5 linked regions of the Macaca fascicularis genome follow. The protein of the gene in region 5 purifies or fractionates together with the protein of the main gene of each other region. This does not show direct contact. Links are inferred from orthologs where the notes say so. Each region holds a gene or a part of one and is shown on either strand. Other genes may lie near its edges. The genes, in order: LSM12, ATXN2L, DDX6, ATXN2 and NUFIP2.

Region 1 (3,763 bases), about 30 Mb from region 5:
GGTCACCCACTCACTTCACTCCATATCACCCAGTGGTTCCATTCCCACAGGAGTAGCCAAGCCATAGCTGCAGAGCCCCACAGTGCAGGGAGGCCAGACAGTGATGCTACAGGAGGCAGAGACTGTAGCACAATGTCCTGCTCTGGTGCTAAAGATTGAAGGCCCGAGGAACCATCCTCTCTCCCCTAAAGTTTCAAGGCTCCTTTACTTACTATTTTGCGTACATGGCTCAGTGCACTCCCCTCTTTGCCTTTACAGTTTTCCACTTGATATGGGGGTGTAATAACAACTTCTTCCATGACTACGATGTTTTTTTCTTGCCATTTACAGTCTTTAATGCTGGAAGGAGAAGACAGCAGGCGAAATGTAACCTCTTGGGGGCATCCCACATCTCCTGTCTGATGAATAAATAACTCCAGACGGCTGATCCCAAGTTCCCAGCTCACCACTCAGCCAACAACTAGACACCAGCAGCCCATATAGTAGCCAAGAAACATTCCTTGGGTGCCACTGGCTAGAAAAGCAATGAAACTCATGCACATTTATTCTTGGGAGAGCCCAGAAATTGTTACTCTGAAGCATAAGAGACCTGGAGAGTCATAAAAATGTGATGGTAGCCTCAAGAATCCAAACTAAGATAGTAGCCTAGGGCAGAGGCTGGCAAACTTTTTCTCTTAAGGATCTCTTAACAAACATTTTAGGCTTTGCAGGCCATATCGTCTGTTACAACTAGCACTGAGTTCTGCCACAGTTGTGCAAAAGTAGCCATGGACAATAGGTAAAACAGAGGAGCAGATCTGGTGTGCTGGCATAGTTTGCCAACCATTGGCCTAGGGAGAAACACCACCTTTAGAAAGACAGGAGAACAGGCTGGGCGTGGTGGCTCACACCTGTAATCTCAGCACTTTGGGAGGCTGAGGCGGGTAGACTGCTTGAGTCCAGGAGTTGGAGACCAGCCTGGGCAACATGGCAAAAACTCATCTCTACTAAAAATACATACAAAAAATTAGCCAGTAGTGGTGGTATGCGTCTGTAGTCCCAGTTACTCCAGAGGCTGAGGTGGGAGAATCACCTGAGCCGGGGAGATCGAGACTACAGTAAGCTAAAATTGCACCACTGCACTTCAACCTAGGCGATAAAAGTGAGACCCTGTATCAAAAAAAAAGAGAGGCCGGGCGTGGTGGCTCACGCCTGTAATCCCAGCACTTTGGGAGGCCAAAGAGGGCGGACCATGAGGTCAGGAGATCGAGACCATCCTGGCCAACATGATGAAACGCTGTCTCTACTAAAAATACAAAAATTAGCTGTGCGTGAGGCTGCACGCCTGTAGTCCCACTTACTCCGGGGGGTAAAGCAGGAGAACTGCTTGAACTTGGGAGGCAGAGATTGCAGTGAGCCAAGATTGAACCACTGGACTCCAGCCTGGCAACAGAGTGAGACTCTGACTCCAAAAAAAAAAAAAAAAAGAGAACAAACTCCCCATCTTCTCTGACCCTATCACCCATAATGGGAGCTGCTCTTCAGACTGGCTCTTCTCAATTATCAGACAGTTGGGCACTTGCCAGACTGGGAAAACCCATTCCAGTTCACACTTGGGAAGCCCCAGGGCAGCTGATGCGACTGAGAGTTCCTTCACATACCTGTAAATGTTCAGATACTCACACCACGGCCTCAAACAGCTCTGATGCCAGCTGCCATCTGTGCACCAGATCCAGGGTGGTTAAACAGAGTAACAGAAGGCAGTGTGGGGTGGGGAGCGGGGGTGGAGAGGGGTGTCAAATGTTCCAGTTTTTCAGCAGCTAGGGAAGCTAGTGGAGAGTCAAATGACTTCTGCTGTGACAAAATGTCTTTTTTTTTTTTTTTTTGAGACAGAGTTTTGCTCTTGTTGCCCAGGCTGGAGTGCAGTGGCACGATCTTGGCTCATTGCAACCTCCACCTCTAGGGTTCAAGCAAATCTCCTGCCTCAGCCTCCCGAGTAGCTGGGATTACAGGCACGCACCACCACGCCTGGCTAATTTTGTATGTTTAGTAGAGATGGGGGTTTCACCATGTTGGTCAGGCTGCTCTGGAACTCCCGACCTCAGGTGATTTGTCGCCTCAGCCTCCCAAAGTGCTGGGATTACAGGCGTGAGCCACCGCACCTGACCAACAAAATGTCTTTTAAGAGGTGGTAAGAAGGTGACCTGCTCTAACTCCGTGTTCATCCCAATCTACATTGGGAAAAGTGATATAATCCAAAACTAAGTTTTACAGACAAGAAACTGAAGACCAGAGAAGACAACTTGTCTGTGATTACACTATTTTTCTGTGTGGAAACGGGGCTACAGTACCCGCAGCTCTGGATGCCGGCATTTTGCCAATACCCTACCAGCTTCCCCAGTAGACTTTTAGGAGACAACCACCCAAAAGCCTGCCACCAGACAGCACAACCAGGTAGCATTACCCCAGGACAAAAGACCTCTCCGATCCCCCAACTCACGTCTTGTGAATGGTCTGGAAGAGCTGCTGGCCCTCTAGAGAGACACCAGCACTGATTGCATAGGCCTGGCTCAGCTTCTCCTCCTTCTCTGTCCGTGCTTTGCTGGCAAGCTAGGGTGGAAGAGAGGAAAGAGACTCAGAATAGGATTCATCTTCATTCTTCCCAACAGTCAGGACCTAAGCTGAAGAAAGGAGGCCAGGAAAGACTGGTTTGGACAGATTTCTGTTTTCTCAGAAATGAAAAGTGAAACAAATTTAAAAAACCCACAACATACCTGAACAGTTACCGGTATTCCAAGAAAATGTTCCTTCCTTCCTTCTAATACTTACTGCATACCTACCATGTGCCAGACATTCACTATGCTAGGCTAAATACAGCCTGAAGTGGGTGGGGGAGACAAACTATAAAAAAGTAACTGAAAACAAGGTAATTTCAGACAGTGATAAGCACTAGGAAGAAAATAAAGCACTTTTAAAATTATAGAGTGTGGCTGGGGGACTATGTGATGGCAAATGATGGTGAGAGATTTAAAACTATATACATTTCCGACCAGGGGTGGTGGCTCATGCTTGTAATCCAAGCACTTTGGGAGGCCGAGGCAGGTGGATCACATGGTCAGGAGCTCAAGACCAGCCTGGCCAAGATGGTTGAAACCCTGTTTCTATTAAAAATACAAAAAAAAAAAAAAAAAAAAATTAGCCAGGCGTGGTGGGGGGCTCCTATAATTCCAGCTACTTGGGAGGCTGAGGCAGAGAACTGCTTGAACCCAGGAGGAGATGGTTGCAGGGAGCCGAGATTGTGCCACTGCACTCTAGCCTGGGTGACAGAGCAAGACTCCGTCTCAAAAAAAAATATATATATATATATGTATATATATTCACACACACACACACACACACACACACACTTTTAACTGGCTGTATCACTGAGGTTGGGAGTTCGAGACCAGGCTGGCCAACATGGTGAAACTCCATCTCTACTAAAATTACAAAAATTAGCCGGGCATGGTGGTGCACGCCTTTAATCTCAGCTACTCAGAAGGCTGAGGCAGCAGAATCACTTGAACCCAGCAGGCAGACGTTGCAGTGAGCCGAGGTCATGCTACAGTACTCCAGCCTGGGCAAAGCAGCGAGACTCTGTCTCTTAAAAAAATATATATATATATATACATATACACAACACACACACACACACACACACACACGTGCAATTTCCATTTCAAGATGAAAATAAGGAATGTTTATGAGCTGTTGTGCTAGAGCCTCCAGTTTAAAAATTAATACA
Region 2 (3,815 bases), on a different chromosome or scaffold from region 5:
TGCCTCTGATTTCCAACAAACTTCCTAACTGACATACTCTCCCCTAGATAAAGGAGCATTAACCCTCAGCAGAAAAAAAAAAAAAAAAAAAACAACACACACACCCTCACCTTTCCCAGCTATCCGAGCCAGCTCCTGGGGCTCCAGAGTTCTCCCAGGTTCCTTGGTAGAGAGTTCTTTTACTGTGCAAGGAGAGGGAAATGCCTAAAAATCCTTCTGTCCAGAACCACAAATCACACTAAATATGCATTAATGGCACTCAAACACCTAGCTCTTACCATCTGTGGGGGCCAGGGAGATCTTTGGAGAAGCTGGGGAAATGGAGCCCACTCCAGGATCTGAGACTGATGAGGTCACAGGGATGGAGGCTGAAGAGGTTGGCACTGCCGAGCCGATGGGAGGCTCAGGACAGGAAGCTGAGATTGGGGCAGGGGCAGCAGACTTGGGAGAACGCGGGGGATATATCCGGCCCACTGGAAGAAAAGGGGGAGCTGTAGGACGGTTACTGCTAGTCAACAGCAGTGAATACAAGGGCCTTACTCAAAACAGCAAGAAAGTTTACACACTATACAACCAGAGTCACCAACTTAAGTGTCTAGAAGGCCAAGGCAGGTAACACAACCAGGTAAATGGCCTCATGGGCATCATCGGTGACTGGAATGCTTAAAGGGGTGGCTGGGATTCTGTCCCAGTCAACCTGAGCTATGCAGCAAGGCAAGCTCAGTTGGCAGAACTTCCTGTAATCCAAAAGAAACTAAAATTTTCTATGGCTTCTACTGTTTTATTTATGTAGAGACAGGGTATCGCTCTGTTCCCCAGACTGGAGTACAATGGTATGATGCCATCTCACTGCAACCTCAGCCTCCTGGGCTCAAGCGATTCCCCGCCCCCAGCCTCTCAAGTAGCTGGGAGCACAGGTGCACGCCATCAGGCCTAGCTAATCAATCTTTTTATTTTTTGCAGAAGGGTTTTGCCATGTTGCCCAGGCTGGTCTTGAACTCCTGGGCTCAAGCAATCTGCCTGCCTCAGACTGTTTTAAAAGTTAGCAACTGGCAGGATGTGGTGGCTCATGCCTGTAATCCCAGCACTCTGGGAGGTGCGGTGGGCGGATATTGAGATCAGGAGTTCAAGATCAGCCTGGCCAACATAGTAAAACCCCGCTTCTACTAAACATACAAAAAATTTAGCCAGGCGTGGTGGTGGGCGCCTGTAATCCCAGCTACTCGGGAGGCTGAGGCAGGAGAATCGCTTGAATCCGGGAGGTGGAGGTTGCGGTGAACCAAGATGACGTCACTGCACTCCAGCCCAGGTGACAGTGCGAGACTCCGTCTCAAAAAACAAACAAACCAAAAGAAACCCCAGAAAAGTTAGCAACTGATTCAAATCTAAACAAAGGATGTCTGCCAAACAGACACAACCTATGAATTGCCAGGTTGAGATTTCTGCACTAGGGAAATTAAAGAACTATTTCCCAATATGACTAAATCCCAAACGCCCAAAATATCTATCTTAAAATTATCTCCCATTCCAGCATTTGTAACAACTGGACATATTTATATCTCTTTACAAATTTCCATCCATTTCTTCATCCAACACTACTAAAGCTTTACCTGCAGGAGGAGGTGGAACAGAAGTTTCTCCAGAAGGCCTATTACTGGGTGAAGACAGAGTCTTGGCACCTCTCAGAGGCCGCTGTGCCTTTGGGGACATGCGGGAAGGGCCTGTTTTTTTTTTTTTTTTAAGATGAAGAAAACGTCAGAGGAGGCAGATGACCTATTATATTCCCACCGATGCAGTGTCATTCCAACCCATCCAAACCCCTCCAGTTACCCTCCTACCTCCTCGGCATCCCCTTCCCTGCCCTGCCCCTCAAAGTCACCTCATAACTCACCTCCATTGATACCACGGGCCTCAGAACCTGGGCCAGGACTGCTATTGTCCAGATGGTGAGGGCCACGAGGTGGCAAAGAGCTAAGGCCAGGCCGACCGCCCCGAGAGCTGCTGCATCGAACTCCTCCCCGGGGACCTTCTCGGACTCGCTGAGGCAGAGGGATATACTTCCCCTCCCTGAGGAAAGAGTTCAAATAAGGCCAGGTAGCCACGAAACTCACGTTTTCTTCTTCTTCTAAAGTCTCTCCCTTCTGCCCCCAAACACACATACACTGCCTGGCTCCAGCACTATTCCACTTGAAGATCTGCCCCAGTTTAATGTTCTATGGCTACAGACTTATGACCTTATGTGACATCAACTCTGAGCCAACCAACCTGGCCAATGCTCCACAATTCTACAACTCCTGACCTATGACAAAGTTAGGATCACACCATAGTTTCAAGGACAGTTTTTGTAAAACACAAGGAATCCAGTTACATTTCACTTTTATAAGAAAAAATAGCACATATATAAAAATGAATACAGAGAAAAAGAGAACGTAAACCAAAATTTTGAAACTTTAAACCACAGCACCCATCAATTCTGGGCCCAGGCCCCAGGACACTCCCAGAAGCCCCAAATAGTCCTGGCTGTTCACGACAGTCACCTGGATGCCAAGCTGGGGCTCTCCCGACCCGAACCCTGCCGCTGGACCGCACTGTGCTTCTCCTCTTCAGTGCGCCCATCATCGTTCTCCATGGCGATCCGCAGGCGGTACTGGGGGCTTGATTCAATCTCTCGAGCCAACTGGGCTGCACGCAGCTCTCGCTGACGAAATTCTTCTGAGTTGTCCTTTTCTAAGGGCACCCTGAGACAGCACCCACAGACCACCACCATCCCAGTGCCAGGGGACAAAAGAGGAAAAAAGAAAAAACACTTCAACAACTCCAATCACCAGTTCAGGCATGTAAGTATTTAATCCTTTCTTTTTTTTTTTTTTGAGACAAGTGTCTCGCTCTGTCGCCCAGGCTAGAGTGCAGTGGCACGATCTCGGCTCACTGCAAGCTCTGACTCCCGGGTTCACGCCATTTTCCTGCCTCAGCCTCCCGAGTAGCTGGGACTATAGGCGCCCGCCACCACACCTGGCTAATTTTTTTGTCTTTTTAGTAGAGACGGGTTTTCACCATGTTAGCCAGGATGGTCTCGATCTCCTGACCTCGTGATTCACCCGCCTTGGCCTCCCAAAGTGCTGGGATTACAAGCATGAGCCACCACGCCCGGCCAGTATTTAATCCTTTCAACTCAACATCTGGGTAACGGGCACCGACTGCGTCCCAGGTAGAGCACCAGTCCTAGGTAGAGCACCAAGGCTTATCTGGGAATGTCAGGAGCACTTACGTGCTTAAAACCTTTGAGGGAGGCTGGGTGTGGTAGCTCACGCCTGTAATCCCAGCACTCTGGGAGGCCGAGGTGGGCGAATCACTAGGTAAGATCAAGACCATCCTGGCTAACACGGTGAAACCCCGTCTCTACTACAAATACAAAAAAATCAGCCAGGTGTGGTGGCAGGCGCCTGTAGTCCCAGCTACTCAGGAGGCTGAGGCAGGAGAATGGAGTGAACCTGGGAGGCGGAGCTTGCAGTGAGCCGAGACTGCGCCACTGCACTTCAGCATGGGCTACACAGCGAGACTCCATCTCAAAAACAAAACAAAACAAAACAAAACAAAACCTTTGAGGGAATAGTTCCACAAGGTAGAGTAAGTAGGAGCAGGGACGGTGACCCTGGACACCCAGAGAAAAAGGAGCAAAAACTATGTTCTCCTGGAAACCTGTCTTCACTTAGTGACCCCATATCACCAACACATCACCTAGAGAGCACCAAGACACTCACGTATAAGAAGAAAGACTGCTATCGTAGGTGGTCTTCACACCGTAGTTCTCCTCA
Region 3 (3,815 bases), on a different chromosome or scaffold from region 5:
GATTAATTTTTTTCCTGGTTAGTAATATGCTATATGATATTCCCATGATGCTGGGCATCAGCAGCAAACTGCAGCTCCCAGTCAGCCACATGATCATTGAGGGTAGACAGCTGATACTGTACAGTATACGGTGTTGTCAAGTGATTTTGCCCAACTATAAGCTAAGTGGAGCATGTTTCAAGGAGGCTAGGCTAAGTGATGATGTTCAGTAGGTTTGGGTAGTATTTTCAACTTAGGATGAATTTATCAGAACATAATCCCATTGTAAGTCAAGGAGGATCTGTAGTGTATCAGTGTTAATGTTTTGACATGAGGTTATTTTCACATTTGGTTTGTGTTTTATTATTATTACTATTTTTTTGAGACAGACTCACTCTGTTACCCAGACTGGAGTGCAGTGGCGTGATCTCGGCTCACTACAATCTCTGCCTCCCGGCTTCAAGTGATCCTCATGCCTCAGCCTCCTGAGTAGCTGAGATTACAGATGTGTACTACCCACACTTGGCTAATTTTTGTATTTTTAGTAGAGGCAGGTTTTCGCCGTGTTGGCCAGGCTAGTCTTGAACTCCTGACCTCAGGTGATCCTCCCGCCTCGGCCTCTCAAAGTGCTGGGATTGCAGGTGTGAGCCACCACACCCGGCCTGGTTTGTGTTTTAGGTAACATTTAATTCAAATCAGGCTTTTATCTTTAAGTAATGAGAGAAAACATTTATTAGTCACTGGGTACCAACACTAAGTGCTTTACTTTTTTTTTTTTTTTTTTTCATTTAATCTTTACAAGAAACCTATAAGGTAGGTGTCCTGTCAAGTAGTTACTATAGTATGTAGACATCCAGATTTTAATTTGCTTATAAAATATGTTTTATACTTCAGATGCAGTAGTTAGGCATTCGTAGGAATTCAGCTTTTGTCTTTTTCTTACACTTGCCAGAGTTTAGGTTTAATTTTTAAGAAGAGGAGTGGCTGGATAACTTGAAAGCCGAGTTTTTTCTTTTTTGTTGTTTTGGTTTGGTTTGGTTTGGTTTTTTTTTGAGACGGAGTCTCTTTGCCCAGGTTGGAGTGCAGTGGCACAACCTCAGCTCACCGCAACCGCAACCTCAACCTTGTTCAAGCGATTCTCCTGCCTCAGCCTCTCGAGTAGCTCGGATTACAGGCATGTGCCACCATGCCCGGCTAATTTTATATTTTTAGTAGAGACAGGGTTTCTCCATGTTGGTCAGGCTGGTTTTGAACTCCTGACCTCAATGCTTTGCCCGCCTCAGCCTCCCAGTGTGCTGGGATTACAGGTGTGAGCCACCACACCTGACCTTAGCCAAGTTTTTTCTAAATCCCTGTAAAGTAGTTACTACATGATGTAAACATCCAAATTTTAGTTTTACAGTTTTACAGTTGTGGAAACTGAAGTACAGAGTAGTTCTGTAACATTCCCACACAGCTAAGAAATGAAGGAGGCAAGATTTCAACCTGGCAGTTTAGCTCCAGAATCTGTACTTTTTTTTGAGACAGAGTCTTGCTTTGTTGCCCAGGCTGAAGTGCAGTGGTGTGATCTCGGCTCACTGCAACCTCCACTTCCCAGGTTCAAGCAATTATTCTGCCCCAGCCTCCCAAGTAGCTGGGATTACAGGTGCAATCCACCACACCCTGCTAATTTTTGTATATTTAGTAGAGATGGGGTTTCACCATGTTTGTCAGGCTGGTCTCGAACTCTTGACCTCGTGATCCTCCTGCCTCGGCCTCCCAAAGTGCTGGGATTACAGGCGTGAGCCACCGTGCACAGACAGAACCTGTACTTTCAAACACATATACAATACTACCTCTTTAATGAGAATCATCACATTAAAATTCTGTTGAGCTGGGCTTGGTGGTATGTGCCTGTAGTCCCAGCTTCTCAGTAGGTTGGTAGGCTGAGGCAAGATGATCACTTGAGCCCAGGAGGTTCAGGCTGCATACAGTAAGCTATGATTATGCCACTGCATCCCATCCTGGGTGACAGAGTGAAATGCTGTCTCTAAAAATAAATTAATTAATTAAATTCTGTTATAGAAGGGGGGAGGTTTATCTGTGTAGTGTAGAATTTTTTTTTCCCCTAGAAGATGGGGATCATAGATTCTGCCCCCTTATGCATATTTGACTCTGCAGTGTTGGAGAGAATTTATTGTTTTCCACCAGGAACATTTCATGGATGCTTTTGTTGGATGATGCCTTATTCTTTGACCATGTATTAACCAAAGACCTTAGACATTATTTTATTGTTTTTAAAATTGTCTTTTCTTTCTACTGCAGGCAGATAAGTTGCTGTCACAGGATTTTGTGCAGATAATGGAGGATATTATTCTCACGCTACCTAAAAACAGGCAGATTTTACTATATTCCGCTACTTTCCCTCTTAGTGTACAGAAGTTCATGGTGAGTATAAATCTGTACTTGGAATCAGTGCCATCCTATGATCTATGAGTATGCTTTTATTCATAATTACATCTTCCTATCTGTGAAAATACTTTATACTAATTATTTCAAGCCTTTGGCTCTTTCTTCAGTTGATCAATTAAAGATTTGTTTTACATAAATTAACTGACTTTTTAAGAAGGTTGTAATAGTAATTAATTAAATTCCTCATTTTTCTCTTAGTTTTTGGTGTCATGATGACATAGCCATTGGTGCTAGCTGAATTGATTCCAGTATTATTCTATATACAAAATAGAGTTTGAGTATCGTAAACTGAAATCCAAAATACTGCAGAATTTGAAACCTTTTGAGCCACAAACATGATGCTAAAAGGAAATGTTCTTTTGATTTTGAATTTTCAAATTAAGAATGCTCAGTCACTAAGTGTAATGCGCATATTCCAAAATTAGAAAAAATTTAAAACCTGAAACGCTTTTGTTCCTGAGCATTTTGGATAAGGAATACTTAACCTGTAGTAACTTAGCTGCATTTTTGAGATCTTATATCTTAATTTATTTCTAACGTGTCTTGCGTGGTGACTCAGGCCTGTAATCCCAGCACTTTGGGGGGCCAAGGTGGGCAGATCACAAGGTCAGGAGTTCGAGACCAGCATGGGCAACATGGTGAAACCCCCGTCTCTACTAAAAATACAAAAATAAGTCTGTTGTGGCAGCGTGTGCCTGTAATCCCAACTACTCGGGAGGCTGAGGCAGGAGAATCACTTGAACCCAGGAGGTGGAGGTTGCAGTGAGTGGAGATGGTGCCACTACACTCCAGCCTAGGTGATAGCAAGACTCCATCTCAGGGCAGCGGGGGGAAAATTCTGTAATGACAGATCATATATTTTGTTTTGAAGAGAGTTGCATCCCTTATAGCAAGAGTTGATTAGACAGAAACCTATAGGGTGGGTATATTTTGAATTTGAGATGAACTCTGCTTTCATTTAAGAAGAACCATCTTTTTTTTTCTCCCCTCCCAGAATTCCCATTTGCAGAAACCCTATGAGATTAACCTGATGGAGGAACTAACTCTGAAGGGAGTAACCCAGTACTACGCATATGTAACTGAGCGCCAAAAAGTACACTGCCTCAACACACTTTTCTCCAGGGTAAGAAGTAGGCTTCTGCTGTTGAATATTATCTCTCGAGTCCCAGTAAAACAGATTATTTCATCAGTTTTCCTACCATCTTCACTGTATAAAAGTTCATAGTGTTTCTGGCTTGGCGTGGTAGCTCATGCCTGTAATCCCAGCATTTTGGGAGGCTGAGGCAGGCGGATCACGAGGTCAGGAGTTCGAGACCAGCCTGGCCAACATGGAGAAACCCCGTCTCTACTACAAAAAAACAAAAAAACTAGCTGGGCGTGGTGGT
Region 4 (3,815 bases), on a different chromosome or scaffold from region 5:
ACAAAACAAAGACCTTTTTTTAATGTCTAAAAAGTATTCACTAATGGCCATGTAAGAAAAAGAAAGAAGGTTGTTTTAGCATACTAAAACAAAATTCAGATGACAGGTATGGAAGAAGGACTACTAATTTTTCTTTTTAGGGGACTAAATAACCTCAAAGAAAGTAATAAACCTACCTGAGAGAAGGAACGTGGGTTGAACTCCTTTGCATTAGGATTCAATGTTGATTTCCTAACTTGCCTAAAAAAAAAAAAAAAGGCCAGTGAAATCTACATGGACTTTAGGTTGTTCTAAAATCTTCCATACCTGACAATTTAAAAAAAACTGCTAGGCCGGGCGCGGTGGCTCAAGCCTGTAATCCCAGCACTTTGGGAGGCCGAGACGGGCGGATCACAAGGTCAGGAGATTGAGGCCATCCTGGCTAACACGGTGAAACCCCGTCTCTACTAAAAATACAAAAAACTAGCCGAGCGTGGTGGTGGCGCCTGTAGTCCCAGCTACTCGGGAGGCTGAGGCAGGAGAATGGCGTGAACCCGGGAGCCGGAGCTTGCAGTGAGCCGAGATCGCACCACTGCACTCCAACCTGGGCGACAGGGCGAGACTCCGTCTCAAGAAAAAAAAAGAAACACTGCTAAACATAGATTTAAACTGTTCTCACTAGAAGATCACTAATCCTCTTTATTGAAACATACGCACTTATATTGCCAATTCCTTAATCCCTTAAAGAATATAGTCATAAAAGAACAATTTTTTAAAAATCTGAGTAATATACAACTGCTCCTCTCAAAGGCAATCAAAAAATACTTTATTTTCTCCTTCAGAGTCCCACTCTGTTGCTCAGGCTGGAGCGCAGCAGTGCAATCTTGGCTCACTGTAACCTCTGCCTCCCCAGTTCAAGCAATTCACCTACCTGAGTCTCCTGAGTAGCTGAGATTACAGGCGACTGCCACCACACCCAGCTAATTTTTTTTTTTTTTTTTTCCCCAGTAGAGATGGGGTTTCACCATCTTGGCCAGGCTGACCTTAAGTGATCTGCCTGAGTCAGCCTCCCAAAGTGCTGGGATTACAGGCGTGAGCCACCACGCCTGGCCAATCAACAAACACTTGAGCTGAAAAGACAGTAGCTACTTATAAAATATCCTTAAAAGCACTTCTTAACATACCAGTATTCTTTTATTATTATTACTTTTTGAGACAGAGTCTCGCTCTGTCACCCAGGCTGGAGTGCAGTGGCATGATCTCGGCTCACTGCAGCCTCCACCTTCCGGGTTCAAGCAATTCTCCTGCCTCAGCCTCCTGAGTAGCTGGGATTATAGGCACCTACCACCATGACTGGCTAATTTTTGTATTTTTAGTAGAGACAGGGTTTCACCATGTTGGCCAGGCTGGTCTTCAACTCCTAACCTCAAGTAATCTACCTGCTTCGGCCTCCCAGAGTGCTGGGATTATAGGTGTGAGCCACCAGTCAACATACCAATATTCTAGCATGAAGTAATTTTTATGTGAGAAGATATTATCTACATAACATACCTGCAGAAAATCATGGCTCTAAAAAAAATTTGCCTCAAATCAAGAATAAGCAGTCCCCAATTTATCAATAAGCTACATTCCAAAACTTTAGCTTTAACTGGATTGTTTGGTACCCAGAACACCTAAGTCAATGGTAGTTAAGTTCTGAGGTTAGCCCCTGAAAGTCCATTTAACAAATATATGGAATGTGCAGAATTAAGTCTATTTTAACAAATCTAAACATTAACTAAAACACTGTTTCTGATGAAAAATATTTTGAATTCCAAGTAGAAGCATCGCATGCTTCTCTCCTTGACAGTGGCAGTTTTTCATCCTAGCAGCACAGTGAGGGTGACTAATGAGTGGAATCCAGTAAAGATAGGTCTCCTGAACTGATAATTTTTCAACTCCTGTTCATTTACAGAAAAACTTTTCTTAATTTATGCCTTGTTTTTCTAGCCCTGGGGTGCAAAAAAGGGGAAGAACAGAAGAGTAGCACAGGGTGCAATAACCTAATTTACTTAAGATGTCATTTGTTTGGACTAGCTGTTTGTAAACTAAGGGCAATGTATGAAGCAGTCTAAAAGTCCAGATGGATTCTTCACAGTTGGAAGGACCTAAATGCCTTTAAAAAAAAAAAAAAAAAAGTTAACTGAGTAACAGGATGGTCTAAGTTCCAGGTTTACTCACTCAGCTGCGTCTTTCTTCTCTTCCTTATCATCTTTCTCTTGTTTACATGCTGGACTGGAAGTCTGAACCCCTTGGGAAGTGACCTCAGGTCCCCTCTTGTGCTCCGTGTTACTAAGTATTGAAGGGGAAATGCTGGGGCTATTCGGCTTGCTGCTGCCACTGGTACAGTTGCTGCTGCTATTTTCAGTGAAAGAATCCTTAGCACTTGGTTCAATTTTGTCTTTGATCAAATCTCTTGATTTTTCTGCCTCTCTATTTTTGTTTAGTAGTTGATCCATAGATTCAGAAGTAGAACTTGGCTGTAACTAAATAAAGGAAACAATTATACTTAAATATCTTAAATAACTTTAGTAATCCATTTTTGCCATGAGCACAAGCAAAGTAATATTAACTATATGCATGAAATGTTTTGAATTAAGGCTTTTTTCATACTTTAAGAGTAATGCTTTTACTATAAAGTAACAATAACAGAATACCTATATAGCACAACCAGTTACCAAAGCACTCAAATGTCTTAGCCTCTAAAGTTCAATATTTACTGAATGCCTACCACATGTCAGAAATTGTGCTTGCTGGGTGAGAAAAATATGAAAAAATTTCTATCCTCCTATACTTGTCATCTAAATAAGATCAGACACTTCACAACAAAATGAGTAAATGCTAAGAGATTCTATAGAAAAAACAACCTATAAAAAAGAAAGGTTTCTTAATGGAAGTTTCAGCTAGTCTAAGGTGTGAAAGAAGTTTAGGAGAGGTGTTTGGGATGGAGAATAGTCTAAGTAAAAGGAGGAATATGTTTAAAAATCCAAAGAAAAGAGAGAAGATGGCTCTATCACATAAAAGAATAGCACCAATGGGGGCTGGGCGCAGTGGCTCATGCCTGTAATCCCAGCACTTTGGGAGGCTGAGGCAGGCAGATCACGAGGTCAGGAGATCGAGACCATCCTGGCTAACACGGTGAAACCCCGTCTCTACTAAAAATACAAAAATTAGCCGGGCATGGCGGCGGACGCCTGTAGTCCCAGCTACTCGGGAGGCTGAGGTAGGAGAATGGTGTGAGCATGGGAGGCAGAGCTTGCAGTGAGCCGAGATCACGCCACTGCACTCCAGACTGGGTGACAGAACGAGACTCCGTCTCGGAAAAAAAAAAAAAAGTAAAAGGATAGCACCAATGACCCAGGCACAGTGGCTCATCACTGTAATTCCAGCACTTTGGGAGGCTGAGGCAAGCAGACTGCTTGAGCTCAGGAGTTCAAGACCAGCCTGAGCAACATAGTGATACCCTGTTCTCATTAAAAAATAATAATGATAATAAAATAAAATAAATAACAAAAATAAAGAAGTAAAGCAAAGCACCAATGGCTGGACCAAGGGTGGGACACACATGTACAAGTGAGTCAGAAAATGATAGACTTGCCAAAAGGAATATGACAATAAAGGAACTTAAAAGCTATGTTCAGGGCTGTGTGCAGTGGCTAACACCTATAATCCTAGCATTTTGGGAAGCCACGGCAGGTGGAAACACTTGAGGTCAGGAGTTTCAGACCAGCCTGGCCAACATGGTGAAACTCTGTCTCTACTAAAGATAAAAAAAAAATTAGCCAGGCATGGTGGCG
Region 5 (4,464 bases):
AAAAAAGAGGGAAATTCTGATATATGCTACTCTGAAGACATTACGCAAAAACGCTAGTCACAAAAAGACAAATACGGTACAATCCCACTTAAATGAGGTACCTAGAATAGTCAAATTAGTAGAGACAGAAAACAGAACAGTGGTTATCAAGGGATAGAAGGAGGAGGGAAAGGACAGTATTTTTATTGGGTATGAAGTTTCAGTTTGGAATGATGAAAAAGTTCTGGAGATGGATGATGGTCATGGTTCTACAACAATATGAATGTACCTAATGCTCCTGAACTGTACACTTAATATTAAGATGGTAAGTTTTATATTATGAATATTTTACAATTTAAAAAATCCCCCAATCTATAACATACATTGAGAAAAGTACATTTTACCTGTATATTGTTTAACAAATAATCACCACCAAATATATGTATAATCACCACCTAGCCCCCAAAATGAAATATTATCAGTAACCTGTGTCCCTCCCCATCACAACCCTCTTTTCCTGAGTAAGCACTATCATGGCTCTAACATTTGCTTTTGAAAATCATACTGTGATGTGGTAATGCAGGATAAGTTAAATCTACACTACAACACGCTACAGAATATTTCTTTAAATTTCATTTTTTCCATAAGTGCAAAAAAAATCCCACTTAATAACTTTTAAATGCTCTTTCTCCCCTTCCTTTGCTCTTGAAACTTCATATTCTAAAACCTATTTTGGTGCCATAGTTGACCTCACCTGCAGTTTAATTAAAAAAAAAAAAAAACCCACAACCTTCAGTGTAGATTTTCATTCCTCCCGCTCCCCCTTGCCTCCAACTACAAAGAAACAATGATTTAAACCCTTTGTGCCCTTTTAGAAAATTACACAGATACCCCATTGTGGAACCCTATAATCCCTTCGTGGAAAGGAAGAGATTAGCATATGAATACAAAGCAAAATGAATCCAGAATACAAAATGATCTACTGGATTGTGAAGCTCTTGTATTCTTAAAAATGTATTTATTTCCTCTTTTTGTATTGCCCCTTTAGTGGTCTTAGGGTTAAGGGAATTGAGCTTCCCTTTCTGGTTACCCGGAAAAGGATTAACAACAAAAAACAACAAAAAACAAAAAAACCACCAGATTCTAATAGGTGCAAAACCAACAGATGGCTCCCAGCGCCAGTGGAATCGCCAGTGGAATCTGCTACCCTCGACATGAGCTTGCTTGCCGGCGAGGAGTGTAGAAAGTGCTGTTCGCAGACTGCGTGGTGAAGGAGAGAAAGCGACAGAAGAGAGAGCCATAGTGCTGACGTTGAAGGCCCGGCCCTGTGAGGTTGCACAGGGTAAGTGGCGTTGGCCAGGCGGCAGCGGCGAAGGGGAAGGAAAGAGGATTTGAGCTGGGGGCGGGGCTTGCGGTACAGCGTGGCTCCTGATTGTTGGAGCGCGGCTGCCAATCTCGCAGAATCGCTCGGTTAACCAGTGCGCTGGCGAGACGCGCTCAGATATACTGAGTGAGCCCTGAGAAGCAGTCTCAGATCCTGACGGTGCAGCAGCCCGCAGCCTCAGCCAGGGAGTCCCAGCCGCTTTCAATGGAGGAGAAGCCCGGCCAGCCACAGCCTCAGCACCATCACAGCCACCACCATCCGCACCATCACCCTCAGCAGCAGCAGCAGCAGCCGCACCACCACCACCATTATTATTTCTACAACCACAGCCACAACCACCACCACCACCATCATCACCAGCAGCCTCACCAATACCTGCAGCATGGAGCCGAGGGCAGCCCCAAGGCCCAGCCAAAGCCGCTGAAACATGAGCAGAAACACACCCTCCAGCAGCACCAGGAAACGCCGAAGAAGAAAACAGGTCTGGGAGGGAGGACGGGTGGGGGAAGGGGGTTGGGGGTGGAGGACAGGGGAGATGGGGGTGGGGCTGGATCCGAGAAGCGCGGACGGGGTCGGGATGTGTGTGTGTGTGTGTGCCCTCCGGCTCTGGGGATGCCCCTTTCATTCTAGGGCTCGGGCTGAGCAATGGGGTTTGCAGCGCCCTCCTTCCCTCCAGCATGGGAGAGGCCCAGCCAGGCCAGCGTGACCTTCCCGGCCCCCGCCCCGGCTGAAGGGAGACCCACTGGGTCGGCCTTGCAAGTCCAACCTCGTTATTCTTTTCCATTCACCTCTCTGCGTCCCTGGAGTTACCTCAATATGGGGGCCCTGAGATGGGGTAAACCTACCCCCCAAAAAAATCCCTCGAGGTGTAACTCAGGAAGGCCTAGCGAATCCCGCCTCGGATGGTGTCGCGAGACCCTTTTGCAGGCGGCCAGGGGTGGGTAGGTAGGCTGAGTTGAGGAAGTGCCCCTCACCCGCCACCCCAAGCCCACCTGTGGCCTTGGGGCTCCCCATCTTGTTGGGGGGGCTGTTGGGACCCCTCATCTCACGGGTCGTTTCCACCACTAGACGCCTTTTTTGGGCGCCGGACCCCGCAGTCTTGTCCCGCGGCTCCTCCCAAGGCTGGTGCCCCGGGCCCGCTCCCCCCAGAGCCGGCGCGGCTGGAATGTTCTCTCCTCCTCGCGGGGCCGCTTCCTGTCCGCCATGTTGGAAGCCGATTCCTGTCACCGACTCCGGCCCACTGAGGAGCGGGGGGGAAGGGTGTCGAGGGCCACACGGCGCGTCGGAGCTGGGTGACCTGGGATCACCACCGGCCGCCGCCTCGCCCCCTGCACTGCGGGGGCGCCGCCGCCCCCCGCTCCGCGGCCGCCCCTCCCCCGTCACCGGCCGGGGTTGTGTAACCCGGTGGCGGCGCGAGGCCCCGGGCGGGTCCCTGGGGTGAGGGGCGGGGGCGGTTGGGGTGGGGGAGGGAAGCGGCCACGAGGGGAGCGGCCTGCGCAGGGCCCCGCGCGCCAGCGGCCGCGTTTCCCGCTCCCGGGTGCGGCGGGAGGCGCGGGCAGTCGGGGCGGGGAGCCGGCCTCGAAGCGGAGCTGAGGGGGAAGGAGGCCGCGGGCGGCGGCGGCGGCCGCGGCGCTCCTAGGGGCAGGAGGCCTGGGGGGGCGGCGGGGGGATTCATTTTGGGTAGAGGCGGTGCCTGAGGCCGGGTGGGGTACCCAGCGGGAACCCAGCTCCCCGGTCACGAGTTTCTCTGCCACAGGAACCTCGTCTCCTGCCAGGTTCGCTCACGACTCCGCCTCTGAGGCTTTCACTTGGGCCTTTTCCTTCTAGCAGCTCATTTTCTACAAAAAAAAAAAAAAAAAAAAAAAAAAAAATTAACAAAAACCTTGTTCCATTCCCCTCCCCAGCCGGCACTTACCTTCTGAGCTTGGGTAGTGTCTTTGAGGTGAGAGATTTTTTAAAATGTTAGGATGAGGAACAGGGCGAGCTTTTTGACCCCCTTTCTTGTCCTTAAGGGTGAACCCAAGTGGCTCATCCATGAGGTTAGATTACTACCATCTTGCCTCGGATGAGGCTTCTCTCCATGTTAAAAAGAAAGGTGTTTTTTCGTATTTTAAAGTCGATATTGATCCCCAAACTAATATTAACAAACGAGAAATTGAGGGTAAAAGTCATGTAAGAAAGTATTTCACGAGAAGTAAGTTTAAAAGTTTATAACCCTCGCATATTTTGAAAAATAAGGGCTCTATATAAATCGAAGAGAAAGGAAGCATAAAGCGTATGTTAAACCCAGCGTATCAAATTTGATAGAAGGAATTGTTGAGAGCTGGAGAAAAACTAAGTGCTTTTTAAATTGCAGATTGTAACTTGAAGACTGAAATTAGAGTGTCAGATTTTCCATTTTGGGAGTTCGTTAGGGACCCGATGGTATGCAACAGAAGTGAACACGTAACACACGAGTTAGGTGTTTAATCCTAAAGATTTAGAGCAGTTTAAAAACTGTTAGGGACTACATAACTAGATTTTTTTAGCGTTAGATCTTGTTCAAAAGATGAGAAAATACTACCGTATTATGGCTGCATAAGGCAATATTACTGTTGAGACTGAAAAATTGTATTTCATCGGTCAGGTAAATATACTCTTGCAAGACTTCTCTCTACATGTAGAAGCAGCCCCTAAACCATTCAAGGTGGTATTCCTCCAAATATTTCTTATCTCGGAAGACGTGGATAAAGAGGAGGAAACTGGAATTAGGAGTTTTGACAGAGTATAAACAATTTGGGGCGAGTGTATGGTTTGGTCACAGTACTGTTGCTTTGACATGCATTATGCTAATAACTAAGAAAACATTACAATATTTTTGAAATTTATCTGTAACATGTTGAGGTAGGCTTTTGTAACCCATTACTCACAAACCTAAAGAGGAACAGTTTTTTTTGTTTATCCAGAAGAGGGCGCAAGAGAAGGCCAAATGTGTTGAGTAATTTGTTTCTAATTGAAAAGCTAGATTTATCAGGACTCAAGTTTTGCTGAGTCTTTTGGAAGTAGGATTAGTATGTATAAGCAGCCCTAAATAATAAAAGCGCTAGGAGTCCTTTAATTTC

What was found.
Region 1: the proteins of NUFIP2 (region 5) and LSM12 purify together in Homo sapiens (affinity purification with mass spectrometry; 3 studies listed by BioGRID and IntAct, counting the BioPlex papers as one, with this or other methods). This does not show direct contact. The link is inferred for Macaca fascicularis from reciprocal best matches to the Homo sapiens genes NUFIP2 and LSM12.
Region 2: the proteins of NUFIP2 (region 5) and ATXN2L purify together in Homo sapiens (affinity purification with mass spectrometry; 4 studies listed by BioGRID and IntAct, counting the BioPlex papers as one, with this or other methods). This does not show direct contact. The link is inferred for Macaca fascicularis from reciprocal best matches to the Homo sapiens genes NUFIP2 and ATXN2L.
Region 3: the proteins of NUFIP2 (region 5) and DDX6 purify together in Homo sapiens (affinity purification with mass spectrometry; 6 studies listed by BioGRID and IntAct, counting the BioPlex papers as one, with this or other methods). This does not show direct contact. The link is inferred for Macaca fascicularis from reciprocal best matches to the Homo sapiens genes NUFIP2 and DDX6.
Region 4: the proteins of NUFIP2 (region 5) and ATXN2 purify together in Homo sapiens (affinity purification with mass spectrometry; 3 studies listed by BioGRID and IntAct, counting the BioPlex papers as one, with this or other methods). This does not show direct contact. The link is inferred for Macaca fascicularis from reciprocal best matches to the Homo sapiens genes NUFIP2 and ATXN2.

What each region holds. Positions count from the first base shown.
Region 1 is NC_088390.1:65,081,524-65,085,286, forward strand, and holds part of LSM12 (protein LSM12), read right to left. Parts: intron 2,590-3,763; coding exon 2,480-2,589; intron 340-2,479; coding exon 213-339; intron 1-212. UniProt on the Homo sapiens protein: Nicotinic acid adenine dinucleotide phosphate (NAADP) binding protein. Confers NAADP sensitivity to the two pore channel complex (TPCs) by acting as TPC accessory protein necessary for NAADP-evoked Ca(2+) release.
Region 2 is NC_088394.1:27,641,760-27,645,574, forward strand, and holds part of ATXN2L (ataxin-2-like protein), read right to left. Parts: coding exon 3,762-3,815; intron 2,739-3,761; coding exon 2,538-2,738; intron 2,068-2,537; coding exon 1,892-2,067; intron 1,722-1,891; coding exon 1,611-1,721; intron 492-1,610; coding exon 279-491; intron 183-278; coding exon 111-182; intron 1-110. UniProt on the Homo sapiens protein: Involved in the regulation of stress granule and P-body formation.
Region 3 is NC_088388.1:117,622,600-117,626,414, reverse strand, and holds part of DDX6 (probable ATP-dependent RNA helicase DDX6), read left to right. Parts: intron 1-2,283; coding exon 2,284-2,406; intron 2,407-3,424; coding exon 3,425-3,553; intron 3,554-3,815.
Region 4 is NC_088385.1:118,382,952-118,386,766, forward strand, and holds part of ATXN2 (ataxin-2), read right to left. Parts: intron 2,505-3,815; coding exon 2,200-2,504; intron 241-2,199; coding exon 177-240; intron 1-176. UniProt on the Homo sapiens protein: Involved in EGFR trafficking, acting as negative regulator of endocytic EGFR internalization at the plasma membrane.
Region 5 is NC_088390.1:34,779,688-34,784,151, reverse strand, and holds the start of NUFIP2 (FMR1-interacting protein NUFIP2), read left to right. Parts: upstream 1-1,478; 5' UTR 1,479-1,567; coding exon 1,568-1,844; intron 1,845-4,464. UniProt on the Homo sapiens protein: Binds RNA.